Linked DNA regions of Cricetulus griseus. The protein of the gene in region 2 purifies or fractionates together with the protein of the main gene of each other region. This does not show direct contact. Links are inferred from orthologs where the notes say so. Each region holds a gene or a part of one and is shown on either strand. Other genes may lie near its edges.

Region 1 (4,103 bases), on a different chromosome or scaffold from region 2:
CAAAACAAAACAGTAAGATAATCCAAAAGTATAAAAGAATAAAAGAGTCTTTCTAATCCTAAGGCCAATATGCTAGGGTTGGCAAGTGTTCCAACAAAGAGCCAAGCAGAACGTTATATATTTATATTTATAAATTTAAGCTTATGAACCACATAGTCTCCTATCTTCATGTTCCTGTGAGTTTGAGGCCAACCTGTCTACACATCAGTTCCAGGACAGACTATAAAATACAGAGAAACTCTGTCTTGCAAAACCAAACGAAACCAAACCAAACAAAACCAAATCAAAACAAACAAACAAGACAAAAAACCAAGACAAAACAAAACAAAAAAAACCATGATTTAAATGTAAAAGTCACTGTTGATTTGCAAGCTATGTAAACTGACACAGCTAGATATGGCCCATAAGGCATGCCATGCCAACCATGACCTAAAGAAGACGACCTCCTGATGTTCCAGTGAGGAAATACTTGGCCTGCAACTCTCCACTACCCAGTGTCTCACAAAATATCAATGGGAAAGCCCTTGGGCCATCAATGCAAGTTCTGTCTATAAGGTGCTATTTGGTCATTAAACAAAACACAAGGACTACTTTCTTCAAGCTGATTTGGAGATGGATGTGGCATTCAGTAGCACTGTGTGGTCCTGCAATTGTTAAAGTACTCACCAGTTTTGCTAGTGGCCTCATTTTCTGCAGTCTGACCTACATTACCAGTCAGCTTCTGGAAACAGTAAACTACTCCCACTTGAAGGCTGGCTCCTGTCTGTGCACAGCAGAGCTACTAGGTACTTAGGCCCTCCTGGACAAGCTTTGAGTCTCTTGCAGTGGTTCACAACCTTCCTAATGCTGAGACCCTTTAATACAGCTCCTCATGTTGTAGTGATCCCCCAAACATAAAATTCCATTGCTACTTCATAACTGTTAATTTTGCTACTATTATGAATTGTAACATAAATATCTGTTGTCTTTTCTTTTTTTCCGAGACAGGTTTCTCTGTGATTTGGAGGCTGTCCTGGAACTAGCTCTTGTAGACCAGGCTGGTCTCAAACTCACAGAGATCCACCTGCCTCTGCCTCCCGAGTACTGGAATTAAAGGCGTGTGCCATCATCGCTTGGCGAACTGTAACATAAATATCCGATATGCAGGATATCCAATATGTGATCCCTATGGGGATTGAGACCCACAGGCTGAGAACTACTACCTTAGAGGAAGGAGCTAGGCACAGAAACACAGTTGGAAGGGACTTGTGGAAAAGAACCACTCCTTGATGTCACCATTGGTGTTGGTGTAGCACTTCCATGAACTTGGAGCATTACTAAGTGAACCACAAGAGATGCAAAAAAATACCCCAAGCTCCAGGGTCAACTCCCTCCCGAATGGGGAAGAGAGGAAAGAAACAATCCATCAGAGTAGGAGAGCGACAAAAGAAATATCATGTTAGATAAGCTCCAACTGAATTTCTGGACTATACAAAGGAAGACAGCTTGCAAACATTAAGTTCTTTAAATTAAAATTCTGGGGGCTGGAGAGATGGCTCAGCGGTTAAGAGCACTGACTGCTCTTCCAGAGGTCCTGAGTTCAATTCCCAGCAACCACATGGTGGCTCACAACCATCCATTATAAGATCTGGTGCCTTCTTCTGGTGTGCAGATGTACATGGAAGCAGAATGTTGTATACATAATAAAGTCTTTAAAGAAAAAAAAATTCTGGGCCAGGCAGTGGTGATGCATGCCTTTGATCCCAGCACTTGGGAGGCAGATACAGGCGGATCTCTGTGAGTTCAAGGTCAACCTGGTCTACAAAGTGAGTTTCAGGGCAGTCAGGGCTGTTATACAGAGAAACCCTGTCTTAAGAAATCAAAAAATGCTGAAACCACACAATTAAGACCTATAACAAGTCATGTTTTACTTGGGTGTTATGGATCCTTCTGGGATAAAGTATTTTGGGTGGGCCACTTACCTTCAGGAGGCTCCGACATGGATGGGGTGAGACAGTACATGTGGTAGCCACGGTCACAGTCATCACAGAAGAGCAGCTGGTCCTGCAGAAGGTAAGGAGAAAGAAAGAACAAGGATCCAAAGGCTTATGTACCCAAGTTGTGACACTGCTGCTACTTTTATGAGGGACTAGTAGCTGCTAAGAAGAGATGTAGAGGGGCTGGAAAGATGGCACAGCAGTGAAGAACACTGACTGTTCTTCCAGAGGCCCTGGGTTTAATTCCCAGCACCCACATGGCAGCTCACAACTGTCTGTAACTCCAGTTCCATGAGACCTGATACCCTTACACAGACATACATGCAGGCAAAACAACAATGCACATGAAGTTAAGTAATTAAAATAAAGAAGTAAGACCTGCCCATCTCAACCTATCCAGATTCTAACTGATCACAAAGCCTACTATTTCCCTACAATCTCTTCTCTACAAAGCTGCCAGTTACCTTCTGAAAATATGAGACAGAACATATCACACAACAACCACCCCCAAATAAATGGCCTCTGTCAACATCCCCAAGGTCCAAGCACAGGGGTGGAGCTTAGCAGCAAAGCTCATGCCTAGTGTTCACCAGGTCCTGGGGTCAATCTCCAGGATTCCTCACTGCTCACAAAAGGACTCAAGACCCATAGATCAAACAACATCCACCTCTCCGATTCACCTTCCCCCACATGAAAGATCTAGTGGGTAGCAATGGCCTTGTTACAGCGGGCTTGCCAATCTCAAGGTCTCTGCACTGGCTATACCTCTTTGGAAATACACTCATTTTGTACCTTTTTGGACTGGCTCTTTGTGTTATCAAAACTCCAACACCAACTTCATTTCCTCCAAAAGCAAATCTAACTAGAAACCTCTATCAGTATCAAGTTAACTCTTTTTTTTTGTTTGTTTTTTGAGACAGGGTCTCACTGTGTAGCTTTGGAGCCTGTCTTGGAACTTGCTTTGTAGACCAGTTAACTCTTTGGCTCATCAAGGTATATCATACAAAACTCTGTTACCCAAGTACACAAATTTGATGAAAGCATGGTCTTCTCTGTCTTACTTAGTGACCTGAGAGCCAAAAACACCGACTGCTGGTGCTCAAGAAACAGATTTTTTTAAACAAGTGTAAAGTTCCCCAGGGGAGGCTAAGGAGGGGCGTGGAAGGAGGGAGGCCCTTGCTTGTGCTGACAGAAAGCTTGCTTTGGGGGAGCTGAGGGGAGAGCCAGGCAGGCTGAGAGGGCGCACGCACGTCATTCTCCGAAGTGCCGCAGAGGTTGCAGCACTTGCACTCGATGCACTGCCAGCGGTAGGTCTTCACAGCCGCCATCATCACGGGGGTGAACTGCAGGCAGGACGGGTGCCCTGTGGGGGAGGCGAGTCAAACGGGGGCTGGAAACCCGTGGGGAATGGGGATGGGAGGCTGCCTGACAGCACTGAAGTAACCAGGCCAAGAGTGTCCTGGGCACTGAGTGCAGCCTGCTCTTTGAGAATGGAAGTACCTGAGCGGCCACAGTCAGAACAGGACACTAGCTCCTCAGGCTGCCCTGTCTTCTTGTTGATTTTTGAGTCTCCCAGGCAGAAGTCACAGTAGTTGTTGGGCAGGGCTAATCCATCAGGTCCTTTCTTGGCTACAGGAAAAAAAGAAAGGAATTTTGATGATGCCCCACATTCCCTACAAGGAGGACTTTTATTTTAAGTATTTTTTTAAATTTCATTTTACATTCCAACCAAAGTTCTTCCTCCCCTCCCTCCTCCTGCTCCCCTCGCCTCCCCTCCCAGCCCACTCCCCACCCCCAACAGGTAAGGGCTCTCATTTGGACTCAACATAGTTTGGTACATTAAGTTGGGGCAGAATCAAGCTCCTCCCCAAAGAGGGTTTTTATAACCAGGCTGGCTCCTCTCCTGTTTGCTCATCCTGACACCTCAGCTTACATTTCTGCTCCTCAGACCTCTGGGAAACAGGAGTAGGTGGTTGAGAGTCTTCTTTGTCCTCTCCCTCCTCCTCAGCCAGGTGGGAATGGGCATAGTGGTAACTGAGGCCAGGTCGATTCTTGTAGCGTTTTCCACAAACTGGGTGGAAGAAGATTGCAGAGAAATGTTAGGACACGAAGGTGCTACTCACCCAG
Region 2 (5,013 bases):
TTTACACGCACAGGGTGTGTGTTGGGGGAACACACATGAAGGTCTGAATAAAACTTGCTGGAGTTGCTTCTCTCCTTCCACCACAGTTTGTACTCAGCATGCTAGGCCTGGCCACAAGCACCTTTAGCTGCTGAGCCATCTTGAAATCCTAATCTTTTGCTCTTTAGATTTCTTCTCTTTCTCTCTCTCTCTCTCTCTCTCTCTCTCTATATTATATATAATATATTATATATATATATAATATATATATATATATATTCCTCCCTCCCTCCCTTTCCAAAATGGAGTTCTCTGAGGAGCTTTTTTTTTTTTTTTAATTTACTTAACTTTTATTTTGTGTGCATTGAATTGGTGTCAATGCCCTGGAACTGGAGTTAGTTGTGTACTTGGAATTGAACCCTGGTCCTCTGCAAGAGCAGCCAGTGCTCTTAACAGCTAAGCTATCTCTCCAGCCCTTTCTGTAGATCTCTTTAAATAAAACCGGGTTTCCACCTTCAATCACACCAACAGCCCTGTAGTTCTGTCCTTGTTTGCTAATTGTTAAACGTTACACACACACACACACACTTTGTTTCTGTTGTCTTTTCTATAACAGAGTAATATCCTTGAGAGATTCCTGTCCAGTTGTTCATTTCTACCACCAGCACTTCCAAACAGCAGGATTGGTACTCAGAATCGTTGGATGAATTAAACTCACCTGCGAAAATTTGAAATAGCCTTTAAAAATGCGTTTTCCCATTTTATTAACAATTTAGGCACTATTTTTGGAGCATCACTGAGTAATAACACAGCATATTAACCTTCCTTTTGTGTGATTGGGAAGTCTAAGTTTGAAGAATTAATCCGTAGCAACGGGTTCCTGTATTAATTTGCAGCTGTTGGTTTTATTTCCCTCATACTGACTTGAAGCCTGGCAGCTTGGGCCTAATTAACAAGCACTAAGTATTTCACTGGAAAAGAGGTTGCCTTTTCACAGCTTCCTTTGAAGGGCCCTAAGTCAGATCAAGTGGATCCACAAGTGTGGGAAGGGACTATCCCTAGGTAAGCTGAGGGTCGGGTTCCTTTCAACTGTTCGGCGAGACTTGGCGAGCTACTCCGAGGTGCGCACGTGGAGCGCAGGGAGCCATTTAAACCAGCGAATCCGCGTTCTCGGTGCTGAGCCGGCAGACGCTTCTGGGTCCCAGTTGTCCCTTTTCCCTCTCGGCGGCAGCCCGGGAGACCCAGGACGGCCGCTCTTCCCCAGAGGGTCGCGGGCGCAGTTGGGGACAGTTTGGCGGGCGGGCCCCGCGTTTCCTGTGACAGCGCGGCCGGGCGGCTCCCTCCCGCCGCGGCGGGACCATTTCCTGAGCGTCCGGGCGGAGGCGGTCGGCGCGGCGCTACCATCAGAGCGCGGATGCGGGGGTGCAGCCCGACAGCGTGCGAGGACAGACAGCCGAGCGGGGGGCGACCGGGCGCGGGGCTCCAGCCGTCCTGGCAGCGAGTAACTTTCCAGACGCCTGGCTGGGAGCGGCAGCTCCGCGCACAGCCCGACGGTGTCGGCGATGGTCGCGGGCCCGGAGCGTCCTCCCCCACCGCGCGCGGTGAGGTGGACCTGCCCGGGAGGCGGGCGCCGAGCCCCCAGCTCCGTGGCCCCCGGAGCGCTCCGGACTAGCCGATCGCGGGCTCGGTGGCAACATGTCCGTGGCGTTCGCAGCCCCGAGGCAGCGGGGCAAGGGGGAGATCACGCCCGCCGCCATCCAGAAGGTGAGCTCGGAGAGGCGCCCGAGCGCGGGCCGAGGCGGGGGAGCGGCCCGGCGGTGGTGGGGGCGGGCGCCGGGAAGCCAGCGGAGCCCTTTGGCGCCTGCTCTGCCCGCACAAAAGCGCCGGCAACCGCCGCCCGGTTTCCCCGCGGGCCGGGTGGCCTCGCGCCGCGGGGTGCGTGCGTGCGCTCGGCGGGGCCGGGAGGGGAGCGGCCCGCGAGACTCCCGCGTCGCCCCGCCCCGCCGGGACCCCGCTCGCGGAAGCGGGAGCCCGGAGTGTTGCGCCGCAAACTCCTCGGAGTTGAGGCCCTCCCGGGAGAACTTGGGAACCTTCCGCAGAGGCTCGGGTCAGGCGGGGAAGGACCCAGTGGGCACGGGGATTCGCAGAGCAGCACCCGCGATCCGTCTCCCTCTGCTCCTCGTAGATGCGTCTGAGCGCGCAGGGCAGGCGCTGTGGTTCGGGAGGGCGAACCTGCTCCCCGCCGCCCCGAGTTGGCCGTCTAAGGCCGTCTACACCGACGGGCGGGCCGTTTGCATTGAGTCAGGGTAGAAGCGCTGGGAGCTGCGTCCTTAGAGGAGAGTGCCACCCCAGTCGCCGCCCTGGGACTGCCAACTGGGGACACAAAGGTTCTTTATTATCCCCCGAGCCTGAGTCTAAGAGCAAGGCACTGTTCTCGTTCTCAGCTTGGTAGACTTTGAAAAGTCGCTTGTTAAGTTTAACAGTTTGCCTGGAGTATTTCCATCTTGTTCCCTGCCCCGGAGCAAGGTTTAGGAGAGAAAGTCAACTCGTAGTACCAATCAGGACACCCTTGAAAACTTGTGGGTTAATGGCCACTGGGTTCTGTTTACTGTCAGGGTCTTGGTAGTGTGGCGTTTGACATTTGCCCAACTGTTGCTTTATTTTCTTTGAAGAAACCCTCCTGGCAGTGCCTGGAAACGCAGTTGTTTTCTCTAGTGGTAGCCTGCTGAACAGTCTCCTTACACACGTGCAGGAAGTGTTTCTGTAGAGATTGGCGCTTTCTTTTTGAACTCTAGAAAGTGTCGTTTTCTTTTTTCTCGGTAGAGTTTTTCCTTATGTGTCTTATTAGGTATTTATCGCGAGTGGTCTAGAAGGTGCTAACTTGTTATTTTTCATTCTCAGATGAGAAGTGAAAAAATGGACTAAAACTTTAGTGTGTGTGTGTGTGTGTGTGTGTGTGTGTGTGTGTGTGTGTGTGTGTGATGTGCATCAGATTGTTTGGAACCGGAGTTAACAGCCAGTTTTGAGTCGCATTGTGGGTACTGGGAACCAAACTTCAGCAAGAGTATTTAGTGCTCTTGTCCTCCCTCTGGGCCATCTCTCCAGTTCTCAAAACTGTATTTCAGCTTAAGTTTTGTTTGCAGTGTCAGACATTGGTATTAGATGGGAGACAGACAGATGGTTGGGGTGGTTTAATGTGTCATGCTTTCCTTGGTTTGAGTATTGAACTGATGGCACTCAGGAGGCAGAGGCTGATGGATCTCTGGATTTGAGGCCAGCCAGGTCTACTTAATGAGTTCCAGGACAGCCAGAGAAACCCTGTCTCAAAAAGAAAAAAAAATATTCTTGGTATCTAGTGATCATATTTATGAAGCACACCTTAGAGAAGTGTTTGCCCTTAGTAATGGAAGATTATGATAAATGTGCAGGAAATATCAATTAATAGCAATTGATCTTTGTTTTTAACTGTAAATCACATTGAATGATTGAGATGGTGGTTTTGGTGTTGTCGTCTGATTATTCATGAAATCATGAAAGGTGGGTTCAGGATCAGCAGTACCCTGATCTTAAAGCTCCTACAAACTTAGGTGGCGTGCTAGAGACAGCATGCTGGCACTAAAACAGTCTTCTGTGGGTTTCTTTGTTAGGCACCATTGGTAGAGGTGAATTATTTAACCCTCAGAGCCACGGTTGCTTAGATTATTACCATGATAAGATGATAATTTATGTATCTTATAGGTTTTGTTTTGTTTCGTTTTTTTTTGAGACAGGGTTTCTCTGTGTAACAGAGCTAGTTGTCCTTGAATACCTCTGTAGATCAGGCTGGTCTGGAACTCACAGAGATCGGCCTGCCTCTGCCTCTGCTTCTGCCTCTGCCTCTGCCTTCTGACCACTGGGATTAAAGGCATGTACTACCACTGCCTAGTGTATCTTATGTTTTTTAGACTTTCTGAGATACCTTATTTTATATTATAAACTCAAATTCTATTAAATATAATAAATGTATAGAGAACACTGTTATGTGTTGTTTTGGAGAATCACAAATTATACAGTTAGAAAAGAAGTTACTTCAAGTCCCTAGGCAGCTGTATTGATGTGTGTATTTCAGTCTGGGTAAGGACAGATTTTTTTCCCTTCATCCTACAAAGCATTAGAATGCTCCAGAACCAATTGGGACTCAACTTTCAGCTAGTGGAAATTGTAGTTACAGATAGCATAGGTAATTAAATGTTTTTGTATTCAAAAACAAAAACATGGGCCTGGAGGATGGCTCATTGTGGTTCAAGGAGAGAACCAATGCCACAGAGTTGTCCTCTGATCTCACATGCACCTGGTGGGCACTCAGGGGTGTGTGTGTGTGTGTGTGAGAGAGAGAGAGAGAGAGAGAGAGAGAGAGAGAGAGAGAGAGAGAGAGAGAGAGAGAGAGAGAGAGAGAGAGGAGAGAGAGGAGAGAGAGAGAGAGAGGGAGGGAGAGAGAGAGAGAGAGAGAGAGAGAGAGAGAGAGAGAGAGAGAGAGAGAGAGAATGAACACACACTAATGCTAAAAAAAAAATAAGTGAAAAGGAAAAGGGACAATAAGTTTCCCTTCTGGGTTTCAAGAAGAAGAGTAATTGAAATAGGTATTAAACATAACTGATTAAATGTGATACCATTTCAAATATACAAAGTAAAGGATTTTTTGTGTCTCAAGTTATAATCTGTGTATTAACAGAAGACCCCAGTAGGTTCCATTTCCATGTAGATGTGACATTTCTAGAAAAATCCAAATTACAAAAAATCAGTTGTTGTAGAATTATCTATATGAATCATGTATAGCATATTTTATAAGTGATTTGTACATTTTAACAGTAATGAAAAACTTTAACTAAGTTAATTCAATCTCATGAGTTCTTATTACTATGAATGTTAAAATATTTTGTAGCAGAAGGTAGAAACAAATAGAAAGTAATCCTAAGGGGGTGTTGTTTTCCATGTTCACTTGAATGATTTGCAATCTGTAATGATGGCTTTGAGGTTCTTCTGTATGTTATATTC
Region 3 (4,583 bases), on a different chromosome or scaffold from region 2:
GTTAGAGAACTGGTACATTCCCTCCCTCTGGGAGACTCCACCTCCCCCCACCCAAGCAGCTGGGGGTGGGCAGCCCCATGGCATCCCAGGAGATGATGGCGGCTGCAGCCGCTTGCATAGATCAAAAAAAGAAAATAAGGAAGGAGGCACCAAGTAGGGCTCCCTGAAAAACCCCAGTTACCTCTGTACAAAAAAGTGACTCCCACATAGAAAAACCTGCTCCCTAAATAGTGCAAATACCCAAAGAAAAGGACAAACCAGCAGCAAGGCTGGGCTTGTAGGAATGGCAAAGAACTTTGGTTGAGAAAGGCCAGGAAGAGTCCAGGCTGGGCCTCCTCTTCCTTGCCCAGCTCCCCAAAACCAGCTGACACTGGCCCTAGGGTGGAGCCTGTAAACATGCAAACCCAGCAGCCTTTGGTTCAGAAATGTCTGTTACGAAATTAAAGCACAACCTCCAGCAGTCCGTGGGCCTGCCTGCAGGGGGCTGAGGCGGCACCTTAGAGCCCGATTAAAGCCAATGCTAAAAGGTAAGTAATAAGGCTTTGGGGACCAAGCAATAAGGAATCCTAACACTACATTTATGAAACTAGCTGGGGAGTAGAGGGTGATAGGAGACACACCTCACTCCATCCTACATGGAGGTCTGCAGCCCCAGCCAAAACCAAGAGGATGGTCTCCCGCCAGGTTCCGGGGCTGGGAAGGAAGGAAGCAATCCCTGAGCAGTTAGGTCAGGCGAATTCCCAGCACCTGTTCCAGTTCCTGCCTTCGCTGCTGCACCTGGAGAAGAGAAAGCATGGCTCAGGCTTCAGCTTCTCAAGAAAAGGAGGCAAAAAAAAAAAAAAAACTGGCAGAGCCTCACCTTGGCAAAGATGTGCCTCCCAACTGCTTCCTGAGCCCAGGGCTGGTGGTAGAAAGCAGCTCGTCTCTCCTCCTCAGGGTTCCCAATCACATCCGTGATGATCTGTAAAGGGCAAGGGGTAAGGTGTGGCATAATTCCCACCTCTGAGCCAGTCTGCTCTGGGACTGGAATAGTACTTGGGGTAAAAGTCACCCAGTGAGACCACCTTCAAAACAAGAGGACTGACTATACCTTGAGGTCTCGGCGTTGGGAACGGAGCCATTCCTGAATGAAGTCCTGGGGGTCAGTGCTAAAGCTAAGCATGAAATCCCTCTGGGTCTTCAGCTGGTTGATGGACTCAATAGTCTCGTGGATCTGGAGAAGGGTGCAAGTGTCATGAGTGCTCCAGTCTGGGAGTCTCTTCTTATATCTAGGTCCAGAGGTCCTATCCTAAATGTGCTGTGTGGAAATGACAAGAGCCGCTGACCCTCACTCTGGCTTCAGTTGCTGTGGAGACAAAGGACTCACCTTGACATCAAGAGAGGCAATCTCCTGCTGGTTGGTGGTAGAGGCCAGAAAGTTGCTCATCTGGGCCTTCAGTGGGTCATCCACCTCCACATCAATGTCATAGCAGGCTGTCTTCTTCTGGTCATTCGGGTCCACACTGCAGGCAGCAAAGGAAGGAAGCAGAAACATGGCTGTGCACATCCCAACCACCAAGCCTGCTCTATGAGTAAAGTTCTGCGGTGAGTCCTGTTTCCAAAGAGCCATCCCATTCCTTTTCCTGTTTACCTAATGACATGATTGATAACAATGGGGTCTGGATGCTGCAACAATCCAGCCAGCTTCATGGGAATCTCAGAGAAACGGAGTCGGCCACAACTGAAGATCTAGAAAGAGCATCCAAGGCATGCTGATGCCTGAGGGAACCGGGGAATAGACTTCTCCAGGGCCAACAGACGCAGTCAAAAGACTGAGTACTTGCCCACTAGGCTTCCAAAGCAGATGAGCCAGGGGCTGAGGGAACAAGAAGGTAGTACCAGCTGACCTGGCGGAAGTAGCGATTGCAATTGATGTACTCCCGCTCATGCCCGTCCTGCAGCTGGTTGTGTTTGATGTAAAGCCACAGCGCCTGCATGATGGCAGCCCTCGTCTGTGTGTGCACTCCCAGCAACCGTGCCAGCCGGGGGTCCAGTTTATACTGAGGCGGCTGGAATGGACAGAGGAGTAAAGAAAGGCTCTTGTGCAGAGACAGAACAGGAAGGAGTCAGAGCAGTGGCTCTCAAACTTCCTAAAGCTGGAACTCTATTTAATACAGTTCCTTTTCGTTGCTACTTCACACTATAACTTTGCTACTGTTACGAGTTCTAATGGAAGTATCTGTTTTCCGATGGTCTTAGGTAACACTGAGTTACAGGCATCTGCTCCCCTTCCCTGCATGAATCCGCATGGCCCCACATGACCCTGGGCATCTGTCACCTGGTGATCCAGCATGAGCAGGAGGGTGCACTTGACATTGAGATCTCCTGGTCGTTTGACCTGGAAGCCATCTGTTTCTTGGGTGGTGGGCATCCGATGCCACTGTCGGAGAAAAGGGGAGCAGAGTTTATCCCTAACGGATAGGTACAGCACTCAATCAGCACACTGGTACCCGAGTTTACGCTCTGTATCCCCTGGCAGCTTGTCCCTCCCAGGCTCTAGGACCATTCTCACCTCCACCAGGTGGTTGTCAGGCCCATACAGCTCCTTGTCCAGCTCAATGACAAGGCTCTTAAAGAAAGATGAAAACTTCCTCTTCTGTTTGCTAGGCTGGGAATGGAAAGAGCTGTAAGATGGGTGTGCTGCTGAATTCATTGGAGCAGCGATTCAGTCCTGGAGCTCAAGGCACAGTCTTGGGCCCTGAAGTAGCAAAGTTTGTCAAAGGGCAGGAAAAGGGCTCCTCTCCATTGACCCAAGTGAGTGAGGGAATCCAAGACTCGACTGCCATCCATAGGAGCGTTGTAATAACTCCAGATGCCCATCCTCAGTCTCTCACGGAGCACTTGCCTAATGTGTGTGAGGTCCAGGGTTTGATCCCCAGCATAGAAACAACCCCCCCACCACCAATTCTAACCTCACCCTTTCCCTATCCTAGGACTGAGTGCTCATGTCTGTCCACAGTCTAAATTTATACACCCCTCCCCTCCCAATACCTCTTTCTCCAACTCACATCATCCAGAAGTTTGCCTTCCACTCGAAGCTCCCAGGAAGCCACCTTGTCTGCTGCTGGAGTTCCCCCAGGGGTTCCTGCAGTTCCTGCGTTATCGCCGTCTGTCTTGCTGGGGCTGAATGTATTGGAAATATAGATCCGAAGTTTTCGCTTTTGCTGAAGAGGAAGAGCAATGGGCTTGAGATGACAGACGTGTTGGAAGCCCTACCATATCTTCTTAGAAGTAATAACCCGCTGGTAGTAGTAGTGCTGGCCCCCTTGGGGGAAGGAGGGGCTGCACTGGTTGATTACTGACGAGGCCAATACCACAGCTATATACAACATGATACTAGGCAAATCAGAAGCCTCTGGAGCTAAGGGCATGGCTTAATGATATAGCAATATATGAGGTTAACATATATGAGGTTGTAGGTTCTAAACCCCCCACCCCCATTTAAACACCCACTATAGTCCTTCAATACCTTAGTCTCCTAGAAAGTCTCTACCATTCAGGGGACTGCTCTAGATAATTAACAGAGAAGGAAAGAAAAGAAAGCTTCTTTAGGGATGGGGTGTGAAAAGGTAACTACTCAGTCTACTCTCTGGCAGCTCTCAAATTTCTGACCATAAGCTGTGAGATTTACCTTCTGGGTCATAGGAGCCACATACGTATAGACATAGGTAGACGCGCGTGCCTACATGCGCAGGCGAAACAGTTCTCATACAGTGCTCTTGCTGCTGCAGTGCGTGCTTCACTAGTGCTAGTAGGCTATGTTTGGGACACAGTAGGCTGGGCACGATGGTAAAGGCTTGTGATCACAAGGGAGGACCGCTTGGTGCTCTCCCTGCCGTGAGGAGCCCTGCCCTAGCCTAGGCAGAGAGCCCTGCCCTAGCACCCCCGAGCAAGGCCGCCCGTCAGGGAGGGCAGTCTGGGGAAGCGTGTACCGTCAGGGAGCCCTGCTCACCCCCGAGCAAGGCCGCCCGTCAGGGAGGGCAGTCTGGGGAGGCGTGTACCGTCAGGGAGCCCTGCTCACCCCCGAGCAAGACCGCCCGTCAGGGAGGGCAGTCTGGGGAAGCGTGTACCGTCAGGGAGCCCTGCCCTAGCACCCCCGAGCAAGGCCGCCTGTCAGGGAGGGCAGTCTGGGGAGGCGTGTACCGTCAGGGAGCCCTGCTCACCCCTGAGCAAGGCCGCCCGTCAGGCAGGGAGGGCAGTCTGGGGAGGCGTGTACCGTCAGGGAGCCCTGCTCACCCCCGAGCAAGGCCGCCCGTCAGGGAGGGAGGGCAGTCTGGGGAGGCGTGTACCGTCAGGGAGCCCTGCCCTAGCACCCCCGAGCAAGGCCGCCCGTCAGGGAGGGAGGGCAGTCTGGGGAGGCGTGTACCGTCAGGGAGCCCTGCTCACCCCCGAGCAAGGCCGCCCGTCAGGGAGGGAGGGCAGTCTGGGGAGGCGTGTACCGTCAGGGAGCCCTGCCCTAGCACCCCCGAGCAGGGCCGCCCGTCAGGGAGGGCAGTCTGGGGAGGCGTGTACCGTCAGGCAGGGAGGGCAGTCTGGGGAGGCGT
Region 4 (4,583 bases), on a different chromosome or scaffold from region 2:
AAGCTCGTAAACATCTGGGCTATTTAGTTTCCCTATCTGTAAAATGTAAAAGTAACAGGATCTATGACACTAGAATATTGTATTAAATAATTCCCACAAATTGCAATATGTAGTAGAGTAAGCCCTCATTAAGTGGGAGACATTATTTCCTGGCACAGTGGGCCCAATACGTTGTTAAGTCAGGAGCAAGAGGTTGATGAAAGCCCTTGGAATCACACAAATGGCTCCTTTGCCATGGGTTCCTCAAAATGGGTAGTTTCCAGGTAGATTTGGCAGGCTCAGAGCTGGACCACAAGTCTCCATCCATTTCTGGACTTGGGTCCTACAGCAGGAGGTGTTGGCCTGGTCCAAAAGGTCACTAGACCATGTGTGCCTCTCGATTGACAGGCAAGGTTGGCGTATGCTTTCTTGAGCCACAGATTATTTGGCAGGCCTAACGTTCAAAGGCCCGTGGAGGGAGAGGAATCTGCCAGGTGCTTGTTGGAGTGGTATCTCTACACAAGCATGAATTTTGACACCTTTCGCAGACTCCGCAAGGTAGCACCTAGCACCTGTTGCCCAATGCTTCAGACACTGCTTGCTGCTCACCAGAGTAGATTCCATGGTTCCAGAGGCTGAAGGAGCCACCCTGGGGGCCATGCCTGGCCCTTTGGTGGATGGCTGCCCTGGTGCATGAAAAGGTGGCCGAGTTGGCCCTGCGTCTACTCTTTTGTATATTCAGGTTGTTTCTGGGCATCATCTAGCAGCGTCCTCAGACACTCCTTGTCTGTGACCTGCCCCAAGCTCCAAAGTTTTGGACCCACAGCAAGCAAGATGGATCCATGATTTAGGGTTAGGGCCAAGTGGAGGGCTGATTGCCTACCTCGAAGTCCACACAGCAGGCATCCAGCTCCAAAGCTCTCTCTACCCTTAACTGGTGCAAGTAGGTGACTGAATCTTGGGTCACTAAAGAAGACCTAAGGGCCTCACCTAGTGGGAGGGGCCCGCTCACCTCCCCTTCCCTTGTGGTATCGTCCTGGGTGCCCTCTGGGCCTTGTTCCCACCTCCCAGAGCTCTGGTGTCTGGCACCGTGGAAGTAGACCGAGCATTCGTCCGGAGGCCTCTCCTGGGAAGAAGCCTCCTGAGGGGCTCTGTTTTCAAGGCTTTCTCTTGGAGGGCTCTCCTTGTCATTCTCACTCCAGAATCCTGCAACAAGAAAAGAAAATATGGGTAGTTGCTCTTCTCCTTACCCCACACAAAGTCAGGAGGATGATAGGAGTCCTAACAGAGAGACTGTGGGATAATATTGCAAAGAGCTAGGTTCTGCGTGTGTGTACAGGTTTCTTTGTGTGTGTACAGATTGGGTGTCCTCCTCAATCACCCTACATCTTATTCTTTGAAACAGGATCTCTTGCTGAACCTGGATCTCACAGACTGGCTGATCAGTAAGACCCATAGTTCTACCTGTCTCCACCTTCTCAGCACTGATATTACAAATTTGTACTACCAATCTGGCTTAAAAAAAGAAGAAGAAGAAGAGCCAGGTGTGGTTGTGCAAACCTGCAATCCCATTACTTGGAAGGTAGAGGCAAATAGATCTCTGTGAGTTCAAGGCCAGTCTGATCTGGACAGTGAGTTCCAGAACAGCTAGGGCTACACTGAGAGACCCTGTCTCAAAAAATAAAGCAAAACACAATAACAAAAAATTACATTTATTTGTTTCATGTGCATGGAAGGGAGTAGAGGCACATGTGTGAAATAATGGTTGTCTCCTCCCACCACATGGACCCAGGGATCAAACGCAGACTCAGTTTTGGTGGCAGGCACCTTAACAGGCTCAACCATCTTGGGGACAAACATGCTTGTCCAAGTCATTTATGTGATCCATCAAACTTGTCAGGCAATCATCCTACCCACTAACCCTAAGTTCTGCACCTGACAGAAGACAGAAGCTGAAGCATAACCTGGTTAGAGACTAAAGGAGCTGTCTCTGGGATCAGACACTCTTGGTGGGCTTGACTTAGTCCCGCACCCCCTTAGCTGAAACCTGGGCAGCTGCATACATTTGTGCAGTCTCAGCTTGCTCAGCTGAGACGGAGGGAATAGGGGTGGCAACGGTGTGGAAGGTGAGTCCACAGATCTTCAGGAAGGCCTTAAAATGTTCTCCATTGGCAGCACTGGATGCCCTGTTCTTGGCCCTCTACAACACTTAGGATAGACAGACAGTATCTATCCTAAGTCTGCAGGCATCTTTAGAGGGTTGTTTCAGTTCTTTGAGACAGGAAACACAACGATGTGTCTGCAGCGTCTTCTGACACCAGCAAGCAGAAGCAGTTCAAGGATGTCTGGTGCGGTGACTCAAAGATAAAGGTGTTCATTAAATGATGTCACTGTCCAAGCTGTAACAACTTGGGAAGCTTTTAAAAAGATTACTGAGATCCAAATCCTAAAAGAACAGTCATAGCTGGGCCGTGGTGGCGCACACCTTTAATCCCAGCACTCGGGAGGCAGAGGCGGGAGGATCTCTGTGAGTTCGAGGCCAGCCTGGTCTACAGAGCGAGTGCCAGGATAGGCTCCAAAGCCACAGAGAAACCCTGTCTGGAAAAACAACAAAAATCCTTGTGGTGGTGCATGCCTTTGATCTCAGCACTCAGGAGGCAGAGACAAGAGGATCTCTGTGAGTTTGAGACCAGCCTCATCTACAATAGTGAGCTATAGAACAGCCAGAGCTACATAGAGACCCTGACTCAAAAAAAATTATAAATTAAAAAAATCTTTTCAAATTATAATAATAATGATGAGAAGAGATAATATTTAGTGGCTATGAATCACTTAGTAGTAAAGTCCAGTGTTAAGTTCACAGTGTTCCATCTGCTATATCTATTTTGTGTGTTTGAAAAAACTTTTAAGATAGGGCCTCATATATTTCAGTCTGACCATAATTTACCATGTAGCTAAGGATGGCCTTGAACTCCTGATCCTCTGGCCTCCATCTCTCAAGTGCTGGAATGAGGAGCACATACTACCACCCCTAGTTACAAAATGGCTAGCCTGCCGGGTGGTGGTGGCACACGCCTTTAATCCCAGCACTTGAGAAGCAGAGGCAGGCGGATCTCTGTGAGTTCGAGACCAGCCTGGTCTACAAGAGCTAGTTCCAGGACAGGCTCCAAAGCCACAGAGAAACCCTGTCTTGAAAAACAAAAAACAAAACAAAACAAAAGGCTAGTCTGAAACTCATAGATCTTGCTTCTGCCTTCTAGAATTAAACCACGCCCAGTTTCTAAAGCTTGTAAAATAGTTTTCGTGTGTATTTGTGTGTGTGTGTGTGTGTGTGTGTGTGTGTGTGTGTGTGTGTGTGTGTGCCGTGTATGTGTTAGTGCCTGTGGAGACCAGAGGAGGGGTAGGATTCCTTAGACCTGGATTATAGGCTTTTTTTCTTGTAGAGCAGGACTCTTAGCCACTGAGTCAACTCTCCAGTCTCACAAAACATTTTTAAAAAACATACAAAATAGGGAGTTTAGAGCACTTGTTGCTCTGCAGAGGACCTGGGGTTCAACTGCACCCACATGGCAGCTCACAGCAGTCTGTAACTCCAGTTCCAGCAGCACATCTGCTTTTCTGGTGTCTGTGTGCATCAGGCATGAACATGGTGCACACGTTATATATTCAGACAAAACATTAATACACATAGATAAATCTTTTTGAAAAAAAATCATACAAAATACGCTAGGCGTGGTAACACACACCTTTAATCTCAGCACCGGTGGTTCTGGACCAGTCAAGACCACAGAGTGAGACCCTGTTTCAAAATAACAAAACATTGTAGATCCGGGCACACCAACTGAGGAGCTGGCTAAGGTCTCTAGAGACACAACAGACTTTCTCTCTGTTCTGTGCTGGGTTTTCCTCCATATTTTCTTCTTTGGTGCCTGCCTGTACCTAAGGTGTCCTCAGCAGAGAGGTCTCTCAAGGTGTGGGGCAGGAGAGATGCCTTCATGTTGGAAGCAGCATTCTGAAGATGTTCCCCTACCCAAAGACTTCTGTCCCCTGAGGAGACAAAGCCACTATCTAGGAGCCACCATGAAGGAATTTGGAATATGTAATTCAAGTCCCATTTTAAATCCTGGCATCAAATTTCTACGTCAGGTAACACTGAGGAGCAGAGGGTCCTCTCCCTGCTGCCCAGCTTACATTGGCCAAAAGGCGCTGTGCAGGCTGCTGAGGGGTAAACACCAGGCCCGAACCCTACAATACCAACCTGCCTAGCAGTGTGTGCCCACTGACGCCATGGCTCCAGCGCTAACTAGGCACTTTCTGATTGGATGTTAGGCCTGCTCTACAAAACGGGTTTCATACTGGTCAAAAGCCCACTACTTGGGAGATCATAGGCTCTGGGGATGATTCGTTAAGTGGACTTCTGGTTATATCATACAAACCACGTTGTAAATATTTATGTTTATACCTATATATGTTTCTGTTGCTCTCTTGCTCTTAACTTTGTTCATAGAAGTTTCTTTTTATAGTAGTAGGTAATGGTTAGTGCAGAGACACATAGCTGGTCAAGAGAGCATAAGTAACTGTGTGAGCACTTGGCTGAGAATAAG

The links. Proteins that work in one complex are often made in the same cells at the same time.
Region 1: the proteins of Ss18 (region 2) and Dpf2 purify together in Homo sapiens (affinity purification with mass spectrometry; 4 studies listed by BioGRID and IntAct, counting the BioPlex papers as one, with this or other methods). This does not show direct contact. The link is inferred for Cricetulus griseus from reciprocal best matches to the Homo sapiens genes SS18 and DPF2.
Region 3: the proteins of Ss18 (region 2) and Smarcd2 purify together in Homo sapiens (affinity purification with mass spectrometry; 4 studies listed by BioGRID and IntAct, counting the BioPlex papers as one, with this or other methods). This does not show direct contact. The link is inferred for Cricetulus griseus from reciprocal best matches to the Homo sapiens genes SS18 and SMARCD2.
Region 4: the proteins of Ss18 (region 2) and Bcl7c purify together in Homo sapiens (affinity purification with mass spectrometry; 3 studies listed by BioGRID and IntAct, counting the BioPlex papers as one, with this or other methods). This does not show direct contact. The link is inferred for Cricetulus griseus from reciprocal best matches to the Homo sapiens genes SS18 and BCL7C.

Annotation. Positions count from the first base shown.
Region 1 is NC_048596.1:53,441,352-53,445,454, reverse strand, and holds part of Dpf2 (zinc finger protein ubi-d4), read right to left. Parts: intron 4,048-4,103; coding exon 3,910-4,047; intron 3,606-3,909; coding exon 3,477-3,605; intron 3,340-3,476; coding exon 3,227-3,339; intron 2,044-3,226; coding exon 1,962-2,043; intron 1-1,961. UniProt on the Homo sapiens protein: Plays an active role in transcriptional regulation by binding modified histones H3 and H4. Is a negative regulator of myeloid differentiation of hematopoietic progenitor cells. Might also have a role in the development and maturation of lymphoid cells.
Region 2 is NC_048595.1:221,684,033-221,689,045, forward strand, and holds the start of Ss18 (protein SSXT), read left to right. Parts: upstream 1-1,585; 5' UTR 1,586-1,674; coding exon 1,675-1,743; intron 1,744-5,013. UniProt on the Homo sapiens protein: Appears to function synergistically with RBM14 as a transcriptional coactivator. Isoform 1 and isoform 2 function in nuclear receptor coactivation. Isoform 1 and isoform 2 function in general transcriptional coactivation.
Region 3 is NC_048600.1:119,211,332-119,215,914, forward strand, and holds part of Smarcd2 (SWI/SNF-related matrix-associated actin-dependent regulator of chromatin subfamily D member 2), read right to left. Parts: intron 3,204-4,583; coding exon 3,048-3,203; intron 2,648-3,047; coding exon 2,552-2,647; intron 2,420-2,551; coding exon 2,318-2,419; intron 2,049-2,317; coding exon 1,887-2,048; intron 1,729-1,886; coding exon 1,631-1,728; intron 1,503-1,630; coding exon 1,367-1,502; intron 1,214-1,366; coding exon 1,091-1,213; intron 962-1,090; coding exon 860-961; intron 778-859; coding exon 724-777; 3' UTR 1-723. UniProt on the Homo sapiens protein: Involved in transcriptional activation and repression of select genes by chromatin remodeling (alteration of DNA-nucleosome topology).
Region 4 is NC_048596.1:73,095,814-73,100,396, reverse strand, and holds part of Bcl7c (B-cell CLL/lymphoma 7 protein family member C), read right to left. Parts: intron 1,186-4,583; coding exon 988-1,185; 3' UTR 1-987. UniProt on the Homo sapiens protein: May play an anti-apoptotic role.